Tamandua tetradactyla: one gene and its partner. The protein of the gene in region 1 interacts with the protein of each later gene in a biochemical or structural test. Links are inferred from orthologs where the notes say so. Each region holds a gene or a part of one and is shown in the gene's direction. Other genes may lie near its edges.

The links.
Region 2: the proteins of STUB1 (region 1) and UBE2V1 form a complex in vitro, tested with the Homo sapiens proteins (4 studies listed by BioGRID). The link is inferred for Tamandua tetradactyla from reciprocal best matches to the Homo sapiens genes STUB1 and UBE2V1.

What each region holds. Positions count from the first base shown.
Region 1 is NC_135349.1:56,698,739-56,705,992, reverse strand, and holds STUB1 (E3 ubiquitin-protein ligase CHIP), read left to right. Parts: upstream 1-4,376; 5' UTR 4,377-4,470; coding exon 4,471-4,623; intron 4,624-5,162; coding exon 5,163-5,361; intron 5,362-5,450; coding exon 5,451-5,616; intron 5,617-5,816; coding exon 5,817-5,904; intron 5,905-5,963; exon of another isoform or gene 5,964-5,991; coding exon 5,992-6,048; exon of another isoform or gene 6,049-6,145; coding exon 6,146-6,475; 3' UTR 6,476-6,740; downstream 6,741-7,254. Other genes in the region: RHBDL1 (rhomboid-related protein 1), read left to right, coding at 1,341-1,379, 1,690-1,851, 1,997-2,221, 2,291-2,439, 2,551-2,663, 2,731-2,831, 2,906-2,966, 3,040-3,311; JMJD8 (jmjC domain-containing protein 8), read right to left, coding at 6,778-6,858, 6,933-7,067, 7,160-7,227. UniProt on the Homo sapiens protein: E3 ubiquitin-protein ligase which targets misfolded chaperone substrates towards proteasomal degradation.
Region 2 is NC_135327.1:2,664,808-2,672,573, forward strand, and holds the start of UBE2V1 (ubiquitin-conjugating enzyme E2 variant 1), read left to right. Parts: upstream 1-4,756; 5' UTR 4,757-4,764; coding exon 4,765-4,867; intron 4,868-5,065; exon of another isoform or gene 5,066-5,171; intron 5,172-7,766. UniProt on the Homo sapiens protein: Has no ubiquitin ligase activity on its own. The UBE2V1-UBE2N heterodimer catalyzes the synthesis of non-canonical poly-ubiquitin chains that are linked through Lys-63.

The sequences.
Region 1 (7,254 bases):
GATGGCTGGGACATGGGGCCGTTCTGTTCATGCTGGCACCATCAGTATTGGTCAAGCTGGTTCCTGGCCAGGGGCTGTCCATTCCTCCTACAGGACAGTCACAATCCCCTGGCTGAGGGGAGGGCTGGCTTAGGGTAGGGGGGCCCATCAGCTTCGCAGAGCAGCCCCGTTGGGTGTTCCTGGCCCAAGCCAAGTGCCATTATCTGCTGGCCCCGGTGCTTGGGGGCTGGCACCCAGAACCCCACGGCAGAGGGAGGGGGAGGAGCCAGGGCTGCCTCTGCACCCCAGGGCCCTTCCTTGGCCCTGTCCGTGCCCTCCTGTGCTGGGCAGACCCCTGAGCCAGCCAAGTGCTGTGACCCGCTGGGGAGGGCAGCTGCCGTGTGGGGCCACTCAGGGCTGGTCCTGGAGGGTCTTGACTGTGACCCTTGCACTGCTGGCCTCCCTGGGCCTGCTTCTGGGTGAGCAGGAAGCTGCATCTGGCCTGATGTTCCTGCCCAGGGCTCAGCAGCCTGGAGCAGTGGCCCCAGTGGGAGTGAGCCCTGAGCTCCGACTGGCCTGTGGAGGGGTTGCTATGGCTGCCCATCCCCTTGGTCTCTGTCACACTACTACCCGGGTCTGTCCGCCTGGCCTTCAGAAGTTCTGGCTGCAGCCCTGCCTACCTGGGACTCTGTCCTGCTGGCCCAGACCTGCCTAAGAACCCTGGGCCAGGCCCTGGTGTTCCCTGGGGCTCAGCAGGTTGGCCGTCCAGCACCTGTGGCAAGGACGCTACTGAGCCCACGATGGGGCAGGCTGGGCTGGCTGAGCAGGGCCCCGCGGCCTCCCCTCCCCTGGCCCGCGTGGGTGGCAGCAGTGGCCTTCCCAGGCATAGGGTGGGGGTACCCAGCAGGGGCTGGTCTAGCCAGTGAGCAAATGAGCCAGAGGGAGTGGGAAGCGCGGATGCCTGAGGAGTGGTGGCCAGGAAGGCTGCCTGCTGAAGATGACTGCACTCCGAGGCTGGGGCTCCCTGAGATGGGGAGGATGGACACTGGGCAGGTGCAGCACGGGAGGAGACTAGGGCGCAGCAACCTGAGTCAATCTCAGCCGCTGAATGCGGGAGGCGAAGCTGCAACCCGGCTCCGCGGTGGGGCGGGCGGCGCGCGGGAGCCGCGTGCATGCGGGGCGGTGCCTCTGCGCGCCGGCGGGCGGCGTGTGCAGCACGGAGCGGGCGGGGCGGTGGCTCCGTGACGCGGCCCCCAGCGCGGCGGCGCCGAGCTGAGCAGGCGGAGCGGGCCGGCCGGGGCGGAGCGGAGACCGCAGAGCAGTCCGGCCCGGCCCGCGGCCGCCCGCCCCGGCCCGGCTCTATGGACAGGAGCTCGCTGCTGCAGCTCATCCAGGAGCAGGTGCGTGGGAAAGGGGGCAGGGGCGACGCCCACCCCGCGAGGCCCTCCCGGCGGCTGCGGCGGGACTCCCCCGAGAGCGTCAAGCCCCCAGCCCCTGCACCCCGCCGTCCCCTTCCCGCGCGACCTTGGCCCCTGCGTTTGCGCCCCCAGAAGAGGATGAGTGGGAGACCCACCCCTCCCGAGACAGGGTGGAGCTGAGGCAGGCAGTCCCTGGAGCCCCCCGAGCCCGAGGACTGCTCGGAACCTGGCCCACCCCTGTGGTGTGGGGGGCCGGGCTGCCCTCAGGCCTTGGTCACCCCTCTCCCTCCAGCAACTGGACCCCGAGAACACAGGCTTCATTGGTGCTGATACCTTCGCTGGCCTGGTGCACAGCCATGAGCTGCCCCTGGACCCCTCCAAACTGGACATGCTGGTGGCCCTGGCCCAGAGCAACGAGCAGGGCCAGGTGTGCTACCAGGAGCTGGTGGATCTGGTCAGTGCCAGGCGGGGCGGGCAGCGGGGGCTGCGGGGGTGGGCAGGGGTGCCTTCCTCCCCACCCTTCCTGCTGGGGAGGTCTTCTGGGCAGGGAGGTGCTACGGGAGGGGCACCATGGCCCACGCCCAGGCCCCGCGCCCCAGATCAGCAGCAAGCGCTCCAGCAGCTTCAAGCGCGCCATGGCCAACGGGCAGCGGGCCCTGCCCCGGGATGGGCTGCTGGACGAGCCGGGCCTGGGCGTCTACAAACGCTTCGTGCGCTACGTGGCCTACGAGATCCTGCCCTGCGAGGTGGACCGCCGCTGGTACTTCTACCGGCACCGCAGCTGCCCGCCCCCCGTGTTCATGGCCTCTGTCACGCTCGCCCAGGTGAGCCGCGCCCCTAGGCCGCGAGCTGCCCGCACCCGGCATGCCCTAACCTTCGGGCCCGCACCCCAGATTGTCGTGTTTCTGTGCTACGGGGCCCGCCTCAACAAGTGGGTGCTGCAGACCTACCACCCCGAGTACATGAAGAGCCCCCTCGTGTACCACCCCGGGCACCGCGCGCGCGCCTGGCGCTTTCTCACGTACATGTTCATGCACGTCGGGTGAGTGGGACCCGCGGGGGCGTCGGCACCGCCGAGCGGGGGTGGGGGGCGGGGACAACCGAGAGTGCCGCGCCCCTCACACCCTTGCGTGCTTCTGCCCCGCGCGGCCAGGCTGGAGCAGCTGGGCTTCAACGCGCTGCTGCAGCTGATGATCGGGGTGCCGCTGGAGATGGTGCACGGGCTGCTGCGCATCAGCCTCCTCTACCTGGCGGGCGTGCTGGCAGGTGAGGCGGGGGGACGGGCGCACCCCACCCGCCCGCGGGCCGCCCTCACGGCCTCTCCTGCCCGCAGGCTCCCTGACCGTCTCCATCACCGACATGCGGGCCCCCGTGGTAGGGGGCTCCGGCGGTGTCTACGCGCTCTGCTCGGCGCACCTGGCCAACGTTGTCATGGTAAGGGGGCGCCTGGGGGCCGGGAAGGGGCCGCGGGGCCGGGCCTGATGCCGTCTCTATGCTTGCCCCGGCAGAACTGGGCGGGCATGCGGTGTCCCTACAAGCTGCTGAGGATGGTGCTGGCGCTGGTGTGCAGTGAGTAGGGGGCTGCCGGGCGGGCGGGCCCCCCACCCGGGGCGCCTCCCCAGCGCTGCGCTTGCCTCCGCAGTGAGTTCCGAGGTGGGCCGGGCCGTGTGGCTGCGCTTCTCCCCGCCGCTGCCCGCCTCGGGCCCGCAGCCCAGCTTCATGGCGCACCTGGCAGGCGCGGTGGTGGGCGTGAGCATGGGGCTGACCATCCTGCGCAGCTACGAGGAGCGCCTGCGGGACCAGTGCGGCTGGTGGGTGGTGCTGCTTGCCTACGGCACCTTCCTGCTCTTCGCCGTTTTCTGGAACGTCTTCGCCTATGACCTCCTAGGCGCCCACGTCCCCCCGCCGCCCTGACGTCGCGGCCCCGGGCAGGCGCGGGGGCAGTGCGCCCACCGCCCCGAGCGTGCGCCCCGAAGCGGTGCCCTCCTGCTGGCGGGCCGCCGAGCGCTGCAGCCTGGGGCGGGAGGCCCCCGAGGAGGCCCCGGCCCGGCCCCACCCCGGGACCTGCAGACTGAGCCTTTTTGGAGAACGAATAAATATTCTACACGGCACCGGGTGGCGCTGCCGGGGCTGGGGGACTCGTCCGGCGCCCACCGCCAAGCGGCTGGAGCCGGGGGCGGGCAGCGGGGCGGTGCGGCCGCGGTTTCCAGGCTCCGGCTGGGAGGGGCAGAAGGAACCCGGGCGCGCCTGCTCCCCTCCGCCGGCACCGCGAAGGCCGCCCCTGCTCCAAGCCCTCGGCCCTCGAACAGCCGGTGACGAGGGCTGCCCACGGCCGCTTCGCCCTCGCCGCGCCACGGCCTCCGTGACCGGCGGGCACGAGGGCCGGAAGGTGGCGGCGCCGAGTTCGGGGTCACCATGGAGCACGAGCGGCAGCCGGGCCGGGGTCGCATGTGGGGCACTGGGGAGGCGAGGCTGCACCCCCGCTGCCCTTTCCCTCGACCCCGGCCGCTCCGGTGCGCCTCGGGTCACGCGCTTGTTGGCCGGCCTCGAGGACCGCGGCGAATTCTCCGGATGCCTGGACGGGATCACGGGAGCCGGGCGGCGGGGTGCGCCCCGCCTGCCACCCCATCCCGCCCGCAGGAGGGCGCGCAGCGAGTCTGCGCGCCGGGGCGGGGCTTCGCGGGGGGAGGGTCCAATCGGGGGGCGGGGCTCCGATGGGAGGCGGGGTCGACTCCGAGGAGCCTCGGAAGCGCGGCTCCGTGCACGCGTGCAGCCCACGAGCCTCGAGAAAAAGTACTCGTGGCGTCAGGCGGGGGTCGGGCAGCCCAGCCGCCTCAGCCTCGGGGCCTCAGGCGACCCTCGCGGCCGCCACGTTCTCCTCGGCGGCAGCTACCGCGTAGCCCCTCCCCGTCGCGAGGCGCGTCGCGCACGCGCGGCCCCGCCCCCGCGCGGCCGGAAGTTCCGGTGGCGGCTCCGTAGACCTGGCCCGAGTGGATCCCGGGCTTCGGCGGGGCCTCGGGCGGCGGGTGCAGGGCGGGCCGGGCGCGGAGCCCAGGCCGGGCCGCGCGGCGCCATGAAGGGCAAGGAGGAGAAGGAGAGCGGCGCGCGGCTGGGCGGCGGAAGCCCTGAGAAGAGCCCGAGCGCGCAGGAGCTCAAGGAGCAGGGCAACCGGCTGTTTGTGGGCCGCAAGTACCCGGAGGCAGCGGCCTGCTACGGCCGCGCCATCGTGAGTGCGCCGGGGCCCGGACGGGATCGAGGTCGGGATGGGGGCGAGGGGCGGGGCTCCCGGCTCCACCCCGCATCCAGCACCATCCCCTAGCCGGCCTCCCAGCCGGTCCCGCCGAGGATCTCGGCTCCTACCTGCGGGACATGGGCCCCGAGCACTAGGTAAGCCTCTTGTTGTCATTGGGCAGAGGCCGGGGCTGTCGAGACCGGCGCTCGTGGGTTAGGCTTCAGGGTACCTGGGGCCGGCTGGTTTGGAAGCTGGGAACTCTTACCCCGTGGGTCCCTATAGGTTTGGAAACTCAGTTACCAAATCAGTTTGGGTCAAACCAGGATAGGCTGTCAAGCTTCAGGCCAGACTCCACCCTCAGCAGGTCCTGACCCAACAGCTTTGGCAGCTTAGAAGCTTCAAGCTTTTTTCACCCAGTTATGGACCCTATAGCTGGGACAGAACCAGGGGCAGCAGGGCATCAGCTTTTTGGGGCAGAGGTCCCAGACTGAGCTCACTCCCTCATGCCAGTTGACCCAGCTCTTGGTCCCCAGACACGGAACCCCCTGGTGGCTGTGTATTACACCAACCGGGCCCTGTGCTACCTGAAGATGCAGCAGCTTGAGCAGGCATTGGCTGACTGCCGTCGCGCTCTGGAGCTGGATGGGCAGTCTGTGAAGGCGCACTTCTTCCTGGGTCAGTGCCAGCTGGAGATGGAGAGCTATGACGAAGCCATTGCAAATTTGCAGCGAGGTGGGCCAACAGGCTGGCTGCAAGGGCGCCTCAGTCTGGGACTGGGTGGGTGGGTGGCCAGAAGGTGACTTGCACCTCCACTCCCCCAGCGTACAATCTGGCCAAGGAGCAGCGGCTCAACTTTGGGGATGATATCCCCAGTGCTCTGCGCATTGCCAAGAAGAAGCGCTGGAACAGCATGGAAGAGCGGCGCGTCCATCAAGAGAACGAGCTGCACTCATACCTGACACGCCTCATCATGGCTGAGCGTGAGAGGTGGGTGGGGCAGGCCCTCCTCTAGCCCATCACCCACTTTTGAGGTTAACTGAGTCACAAACAGAAATGTTTATGGGAGATCAGTGCTGGCGAGCAGAAAGCAAAGGAGACAAGGTCTGGGCTATAACCCTGAGGCTGGAGTTGTGGTCTCACTTCTCTTGCCCAGACCCATCTCTGACTAGTTCCTGGTCGACCCCCAGGGAACTGGAAGAATGTCGGCGGAGCCACGAGGGTGATGAGGATGATGGCCACATCCGGGCCCAGCAGGCCTGCATCGAGGCCAAGCACGTGAGCGTGCCACCAGCCCATGAGGCCCGCACAGGGGGAAGGGAGCTGCAGTGTCCGGCCATTGCACAGCTTTGTGTTTATTTGCAGGACAAATACTTGGCAGACATGGACGAGCTCTTCTCGCAGGTGGATGAGAAGAGAAAGGTGAGGCTTGAGGCTGCTCTGTGCCCTGGGGCCTGCAGGTGGCAGGGGATGGAACAGTGTCCCCTCCCCAGGCCCTGATCCCTCCCGTGTGCCACAGAAGCGTGATATCCCTGACTACCTGTGTGGCAAGATCAGCTTCGAGCTGATGCGGGAGCCATGCATCACACCAAGTGGCATCACCTATGACCGCAAGGACATCGAGGAGCACCTGCAGGTGAGGCCTGGCAGGGCAGCAGGGTTGGAGCCAACAGTTTGCCCAGGGGGGCCAGCTGAGCACCCTTGGGCCCTCTTGTCACTGCAGCGTGTGGGCCACTTTGATCCTGTGACCCGGAGCCCCCTGACCCAGGAACAGCTCATCCCCAACCTGGCCATGAAGGAAGTCATCGATGCATTTGTCTCCGAGAACGGCTGGGTGGAGGATTACTGAGGGAGGACCCACCAAGGGCCACTCCCCGCACTCACTGCACCCTAGCCCAGGACCCGGGTCCCGGTCTCTGTACATAGTTTGGGTGTCTGGATCCCAGTCCCTCACCTGCCTCCTCCGCCATTCGTTCTGCTGTTGGCTCTGGACTGTTTGCGCTCAGCTAGGGTGTAAGCCTCCCCCATCTCCCTCAGGCCCAAAACAGCAGGCAAGGGTTGGGTGGGCTGGGGCCACCACCGCCACTGCCCTGGAATAAAGTCTGTGAGCACTACGTGGGCACATGCTGGCTGTGGGAGGCTTGGCAGGTGCTATCCAAGGAAAGTAGAGATGAAGACGCTGGTGTCAAGATTGAGGGTGGCATGCCACCACCGATCAGGGAAATACAGCACCTGGTACACAGGAGGAGGGGCCAGGATGAGTCAGGGCCTCAGCCTGGCCTGGCCCCCTCAGGGCAACCACAGACCTCGCCAGGGCGGATGGTACACTCCAGGGGCCGTTCCAAGGGCGCCAGGGCTGGATACACATCCTGGAGCCAGGCCAGTGTGGTTTTGTTGGGGTGGAACTCTGGTGTCTTCTCTGGGGGATACAGGAACCAGCGCTGGGGTTGAAGGTTGCGAAATCATTCCTGAGCTCTGGTGGCCAGTGAGCTCCCAACCTCAGTCCCCGCCACCACCCCCATCCCACGCTGACCTTACGACCATAGATGACTTCCGAGTACCCGGGCCCATGCCAGTGGAAGGGCACCCCAGAGCCAGCTCCTGTGGAGTGAATCAGTAGCAGTTAAT
Region 2 (7,766 bases), on another chromosome or scaffold:
TAATCGGTTCAGGGCTGATTCCTAACAATGAATTGCTGATCAAAGGTGTGTGTTTTAAACTTTGATACCTCCTTCCCAATCCTCTTCTACAAGGGTTGTGCCAATTTATACTCTCACAACAACTTTTGAGAGTGCCTGTTACCTCACACCCTTGCCAACAGAGTACATTATCGAATGTTCTGTTCTCTGCCAATCTGATAGGTGGTTTTAATTTGCATTTCTCTTAGCGAATTACAGGGAATCTAAGATATCATCCATTGTAAGATGCATCCTGATTCCAGAGATGTTTGAATGTAAAACTTAGATTCAATGAAATACAATACGTAGAATGAGATTGGGTGTGTCTTATCATGAGCTTAAAAGGCATTTGGATCTCTATCTCAAATCCCAGCTCTGCCACTTATAAACTGTGTTACTTTGGCAAGTTACTTATCCTGTTTGTGCCTCAGTTTCCTTATCTGTAAAATAGGGATAATAATGGTACCTACCTCATAGGATTGTTGTGAAGATAAAATGAATTAATATGTACAAAATACTATGTGCCTAGAACATAGTAAATGCTCAATAAATGTTTGCTATGATTATTGCTTTCTTTTGGGTTCATTTTTTTCTTGACAAAAATGCAAGAGCTCTTTATAAATGAAGGAAACTCATCCGTTTTGTCATTCTCCTGCCCTGTATCCCTAGTTTTTATTCCCTTTTTTCCTGACCATAAAAGTACAAAATTCAAACATTACAGAAATAAATTGTATAGGAAGAAGAAAACAGAAACAAACCAGATAGCACCATGACCCCTACCCATCCACTCCTAACCCTTTTAGGTAGCATATTTTAGCAACTACGTAAAGGATCTACCTTTATATAAAATATCTACACATCGCACATGAAAATCACAATTGTGCCTAATGCTGTAGTGCATGGCTCACGTGGGGTCCATGGGTCCATGTATGTGTCAAAACAGCACCAGCCAATGTGTCATGCCCACTGTCAACCACAGACTCCTCCCAGGGATTCTATGATCCATTTTCTGGTGGTCTGTGGCCCTTCCTGTCAACAATTTGTCAGCTTTACTTTCAATAGTTTTTATTATACAGGCTATAGCAGGAGGGTTTTTTTTTTCCCTTAACTATAAGTAAAAGTACAGCCATAACATTATAGGATGCAGTCCACACCTTGCTACCCAAAGTATGGTCTGTCAATCGGAGAGGCATCCCCTGGGGGATTGTTACAAATGCCGAATCCCAGTGCCATCCCTGGAAGTCGGACATCAGATTCCGCATGTGGCTGTTCAAAGCTGTATGTACCCCAGAAAAAAAATGTTCTTAAATTTAATCCATTCCTGTGTGTGAACCTGTTCTAAGTGAGGTTACTTAACTAAAGTGTGATCTGCCTCACTCAGGATGGGTTTAATCCTATCCTGGAGTCCTTTACACAAGAATGAAATACAGACAGAGAAAGCCACGGAAGCAAGAAGCTGAAATCAAGGAAACCTGAAGGAGAAGGGAGAGCCCAGGAGATGCCACCCTGTGCCTTGCCATGTGACAGAGAAGCCAAGGATTGCTAGCAGCCGGTCTTCAGGAAGAAAGCAACATCTTGAGGATGCCTTGATTTGAACATTTTTCCTGGCCTCAAATCTGAACAAACATATTTCCACTGTTTAACACAGCCGTTTCCTGTTTGCTTTAAGCAGCCTACGAAACTAAAACAGCATTTCAGCAAGATCTCTAGTAATCAGAGTTTGAGAAGCATTGCTTTAAAAATTAAGATATAGATCTTATAAACTATATTGAATATTATGTAGACTACAAATACAAATATGTTGAAAGGTTTTACATTTTGAATATACTTTTTCAAACGCCTTTCGTAGCCTGGGCGTTTTCCTACCTTTTTGAGATTAGAGTTTTTGAATGAACACCATGGAACAATCCAGGTAAATTTACATCTCTTGGCTGGACTCCTGCACCAGCTTCTTGAATCTGTTAAGTGTACTTTTTGCTGTCAGTAACAGAGACCTACCTCTAAGAACAGCTAAAGCAACAGTTGTTATTTCATGTCTTAAGAAGTCTGTAGGTAGGTAGTCTCAGGATTCCTTCAGTAGCTCATACCATCCAGGACCTAACTCTCGCCATCCTTCTGTGCTGGCATCTTTGGTGTGCTAGCTTTTTTGGCATTAGGCATGTGCATCAGCATCGTACCATGGCTGCCACAGCTCTGACCATCACAACCTCATATGGTCATTAGAAGGAAAAGGGACAAAAAGGCTCTCTCCCTAGCTAGTATTAAGGGGAGAGAAACTTTCTAAACATCCCCCTCCCTGGCTAATTGGCCAGAACAGGGACACAGGCACACCACTGGACAAATCACTGGCAAAAGGAAACAGCAGTCCCCATGACTGGCTTGACCAAATCATGATTCACACCTAGCATCACACCCGTTTCTGAGCAATACTAGGTTTGGCAGCCAACAGCGTCTGTCACACCTCCCCTCCAGAGTGCCCCATCCGTCTCCTTGAGACAGCCAGGCTGCACTTTCTAAAAATGCAAACCTGCCCATGTCCTGCTTAAAACCTCTGACGTCCACCTGCCTCACAGGGAAAACGGCAGGTAGGACAGGGTTAAGGGACATGAGTTCTAACCTGATTTTACCCCCTTTCTTTGTTGTGTGACCCTAGGAGAGGCATTTAACTCGCCCCAACCTCAGTTTCCTCGCCTGAAAAACGGAGACTAACGTCTTTATAGTGACTTTGCAACGGTCACTGAGGATAAAACAAAAGGAGGCTAAAAGGCGCTAATACTCACATAGCCCCTACTCCGTGCGGGCACTTCCTAAATCCCTCAGTTCTAGTGATGTCTCACTCATCCCAGCAACCCGATAAAGCAGGGCTCTTGCCCCAGCCGCTGGCGCCACGAGCGCTGACGCTGAGCGGGGCCGAGCGGAGCCGGGCGGGGCCGCGGGCGGATGCGGGGTTGGGCCGTGGGGGGTGCGGGGTGGGGCCGCAGGGGCCTGCCGCCGAGCGCAGGGGGAGGGCCGGGCGGGGTGCCGGCCGGGAGCAGCCGCGGGCGGGTGCGGGCCGGCCGGGCGGGGCACCACAACCCCCAGCGTGCGCCGGCCAGCACCCGGGGAGGCCTCTTCCGCGTGGGCTGGTCGCTACTCCAGGCAGGCTCGTGGGGTTCCGGGGCAACACTTCGCTTTACTGTCAGTTTACCGCACGAAAAGGCGGATACTATTGTCCCCCTTTTCAGAAGGCGGAACCGAAGTCAGGACAGGTAAGTCCCACAGCAGAGCGCGCGGCGGGGGAGGGCTGCCCCGCGGCCATTTCCCTCCAGAAGACGCTACCACGACCCAGAGTCCAGCGCAGGGATCTCCTCCAGGCAGCCCCGCGATACACGGATGAACGTCAGGGCGCATCACGCGTGGCCCTCAGAGAGCCGATTATAGCTTAGACCTGGCTAGAGAGACCAGGGCAGGCTCCCTGCGGCCGTGCGGCGCCCGCGTTCCTGAGACAGAGAGGGGACGGCACAGGCAGGGGCCCTAAGGAGGGAGGGGCACGTCGGGGTCCAGGTTTCGAGAAGCCCACAGCAGCTCTGGGATGCGGACAGGGCCGCCAGGGCCTCGCGGGCAGCTTGGCCGTCCAAGCTGATCCACGCCGGAGCTGGTGGACTCTGCAAGGTTCCAACAGGCCCCTTTCCTCCTGATGACTGTCCCTGCTGGACGATTAAGTCCATGGTTCCTCAGTTTGGAGGTCTGCATTTTACCCAGGAGAAACGGGGAGCCACTGAGGCTTTAGAAGGGTGTTTTGAGCAGATCTGTCATGGAGAACGGCCCGTGGGGGCAAGAGCGGAAGCCTCTGCGGCCATCAAATCAGAGACAAGGGCCGCCTGCCCCGAGTGGGAGAAGGGGATGGAGTTGAGAGACGCTTCCGAGGCATTCCTGTCAGAACAAGGCGGTGCAGGGGCGCGCCTGGCCAGCGCTTCCAGCTTCTCTGCCCCCCCCCCCCGTCCTTCGTCTCCCGGGTTTAAGATGCGGACCTTGAGCCCGTCCCTTCTCCCCTGTCAGTCCAGTCTTCAGATCCGGATAAGAGCCCATGGGACTCTTGGATTTAACTTGTGTCCAGGCCTTTGCTGTTTCCTCTACCCCTTCTCACCTGCAGGTTCGGATGAAACGCGACCGCCTCTGGGGGCCCTCCGTGACCACCCCTGCCGCCCCTTCTCTGATTTACTCTCCTTTCGATCATAGCCATGATAAGAAAAAATGTCCTTTCCTATTTAGTTGTCTCTCTGTGGATCTCCTCTGACTAGAACGTAAGCCTTTAAGAGCGGGAACTTACTTCTTCAGGGATGTTCGTCCACCCCGGTGCCTGGCACAGCGCCTGGTACACAGTAGGTGCTTACTAACTATGTCTGAAGGCGTGGATGGGCGACTGCTTTCCCTGCCCGCTCCATGCCCCTTCAAGCCGGCCGCGGCCAGCAGCGGCTGTGGGTGCGACCCTCCGCGCGCCTGGCGCTGTCACAGAACCCGGCGACGCGGCCGCTGGAGGCCCTGACAGACCGGGAAAGCCCGGGTGACCGGGGCTGGATTCTGACGCGTTCCCTCTCGAGTCCCAGCACCCTAGCCCTTCTCACCAAGCACCTCGGTGCCTCTCTCGCACCGCGCCCGGAGGGACTCCTCTCCTCGGGTAATTCCTCTCTCAAAACGGAAAGTAAAAACCGTCCCGACAACCCGGCGCAGGGTGCGCGGAGTGGGCCTCAGCGACGGCGTCTGCGCATGCGCGCGCGGTTGCGCATGCGGACCCGGGCCGGGCGGGGGGTGAAGAAGGGGCCGGCCTTCGAGCGACAGCGACGCAAGATGGCAGCCACCACGGGCTCGGGTGAGCGGGGGCGCCGGGCCGCAGCCGCCGGGGCGCGGGGTCGGGCCGGGAACCCGGGACTCACAAAGACCCTTGCAGCCAGGCCAGGGCACTTGCGCTGCCTCCGTCCTCTGGGCGCTGAGGCGGCAACCAGGGCGACCCTACGAGGGAGGCGGAGCAGGCGGTGGCCGGAAGCACGGGCGGGGGCCTGAGGGGCCTGTGGGCGGCGCGGCAAGGCCCAGAGGCTCCCCCGGGCGGCCTGTGGGTCCCTCTGGGAGGAAGGGCCGGGCCCAGCGGCGCTGCTGAGAAACCGGAGTAGGCCGGGGTGAGCCCTGAGGGCACAGCTGGGAAAGCTGGGACTGGCGGCGCCTTGGGAGAGCTCGAGGGGGGTTCTCTAGAGGATGAGCATGCACCCCCAACGCGGCAGGAGCGCCCGACTGGGTGCTGGGAGCCCGGGTGACGAGGGGGCCGTGGGATATTGGTTTTGAGGAGACATCAGAGAAGCCCATCAGGATGGATGGGAGGAGGAAACGGATCTTGAGGGGATGCCTGAGAGGACCGCCCCCATGGGTTAAGGGGCTCCAGTCGGTTTTGGGGATGGGGTTGGCTGAGGAAATCTGCGTGTTGATTAGAAAGGAGGAAGCCAGGGGTCGCTACTTTGGGAGGAGAATAAGGGTATCTCCACAGGATGAGTGAAGGGGAAAATGGAGTCAGATTCCAGAGGGATCTTGTCGGGGTGACTGATAGTGAAATGACCCCATCATTACCAGGCACTTATTCAAAGGGACAGATGGGTTCCTCCGAGTTAGATTTTAGAAGGCAAGCTCTGAATTGGGCAGTTCCTGGAAGCCTCCGATGTTGGGTGAGGGGAACAGGGTGGAAACTAGGGGTGTCTGTGGGAGGGGGAGGGGATCAAGTGAGGGAAGCCCCTCGCAACGGGTAAGAGTGGGAAGAGGTCAGGTTGCAGAGATGTTTCAGAGAAGAAAAATCTCCTCTTTGATTGGACGGTGGGAACATACCTTAGAAGTGCCTGTTTTGCAGAGATTGCCTGCACCTCACTCCCTTCCACCTCTGGATATTGGAGATACATATGTATGTTCAGATGGGAAGTTTCTCAATGGCTGGAGGTGGAAGTTGAGGGGGAGAAACAGATGAAATAGGAGCACCAGGGTAGTTGTTTGGATAAGAAAGGCTGAGCAAACCCCCACTTCTGAATGGACAGCAGAAACAGGGAGTTTTGGGGGGAGGCAGGGGCGGGGGGGGGGGGTCTCCTTCCAGTCTCTAGATAGGTCGAGGGAGACAACACTTATTTTGATACTCAGTTCCCCGTGATGGACCAGAGGCTCAAACTCCAAAAGGTGTGTTTCAGGATTAACACTCTACAGGTTGGACATCAGGGGGTGGGCTCAGCTGGCCTTTGCGGGGGGGTGGGGGGGGCAAGGCGGTGGGTGGAGATTGGCTAGGGGTGATGGCTGATGAAACCAGAGAATCAGATTGGGGAAGAGCAGAGTTTGGGGGAGACAGAGTGTTCCTCTTTTGGTAAGGACAGCAGGCTTGGCCAAGTTCTCCCAGACGGGATGAAGATGGGTAGCCCCTGATGGATGAGGCAGACCCGACCACACTGGAGAAGAGAGTTCGATGCCTGCAGGGACACCAACTTAAAATCCCCAGGCTGTTTAAGGCCACGGTGTTGGGTGAGGGTTGGTGACCAACGAGGAACTGAGTGTGGGCAGCCCGTATTTCTAGGGTGTTGCTCTTCTCTGAAGGTCATCAAGTACCCCAAGAAGCCATCCTATTGTGATTGTTAGGGTGAGGAATTGGAGGTCTGACAAAAGTGATCCACCACAGCCTGCCTTTGACACTCAAAGCAGTGGGTCTGTTTGGAGGATATAGAGACTTCACATTCCTTTCCTAGGCTTTTTTTTTTTTTTTAAGTTTGAACAGTGCTGAGTTAATTCATTTGCTGAGACACTGCCGCAGACACTCCCAGAAGATAGAGGCTGAGTCAGGCCAGTCTTCTGTGGGAAACTTCTCATCAGAAAAACACCCCTGCCAGGTTGCTAGGAACTAGGGGATGGTAGGGCTTATGGCAGCCAGCGTTATGGCGGTATTGCAGCTCAGCCTTCGAGACTGGCTTCCTACAATCCGGTTTAACAGCTTCTTAATTCTGACTTCTTGAGGCCCTACCAATTGAAGAGTGCTTCGTAAATGCTGTAAAGCATTCTCAGTGTCAAGCTAGTGGAATATAAGAGCATTTGGTGTGATTTAAGATAACAGAACAGACTTTAAGGTATCCTAAAATGGACTTTCCAAAACTCCTTTGTTTATTCAACAAGTATTTACTGAGGTCCTTTTATGTCCCATTGCAAGTAATGACAAGATGGATATGGGCCCTGTCCTTGAGTTGCTTCTGTTCTAGTGGGGGAGAAAGGCTTTAAGGGGGAAATAAATAAGATGGTTTCAGATAGCAGTGAGTGCTATAAAGGAGATTGTGTGGTATGATGGCAAACATCTGGAGAAGTTGTTAGGGAATGCTTCTCTGATAAGGTGGAGTTCGAACTAAGGCAGTGATTGAAGGAGTGAACCCTCAGACTGTGCCACAGGCAGGAGAGGAAGTGAGTGCAAAGCCTCTGTGGTAGGAATGAGCTTGGCATGTTGGAAGAACAGGATAAAAGTGTAATATACAAGGGAGGCTTGTTAAGGAGATGAGTTGGAGAGTATATGGCTTTGGATTTTATTGAATACAAGGGGAAGGCATTGAACAGTGCCTTTGAATAGCCATTGAACAATATGAAGCAGGCATTCAGTAAATATTTCGTGAATGAATGAATAAATGAGAGAATGGGAGTCCTAAAAAGCAGAGTTACAAGATCTGACCTGTGCCCTTAGGCAGAGAAAAGAGTACTAAGTGCTAAGAGTG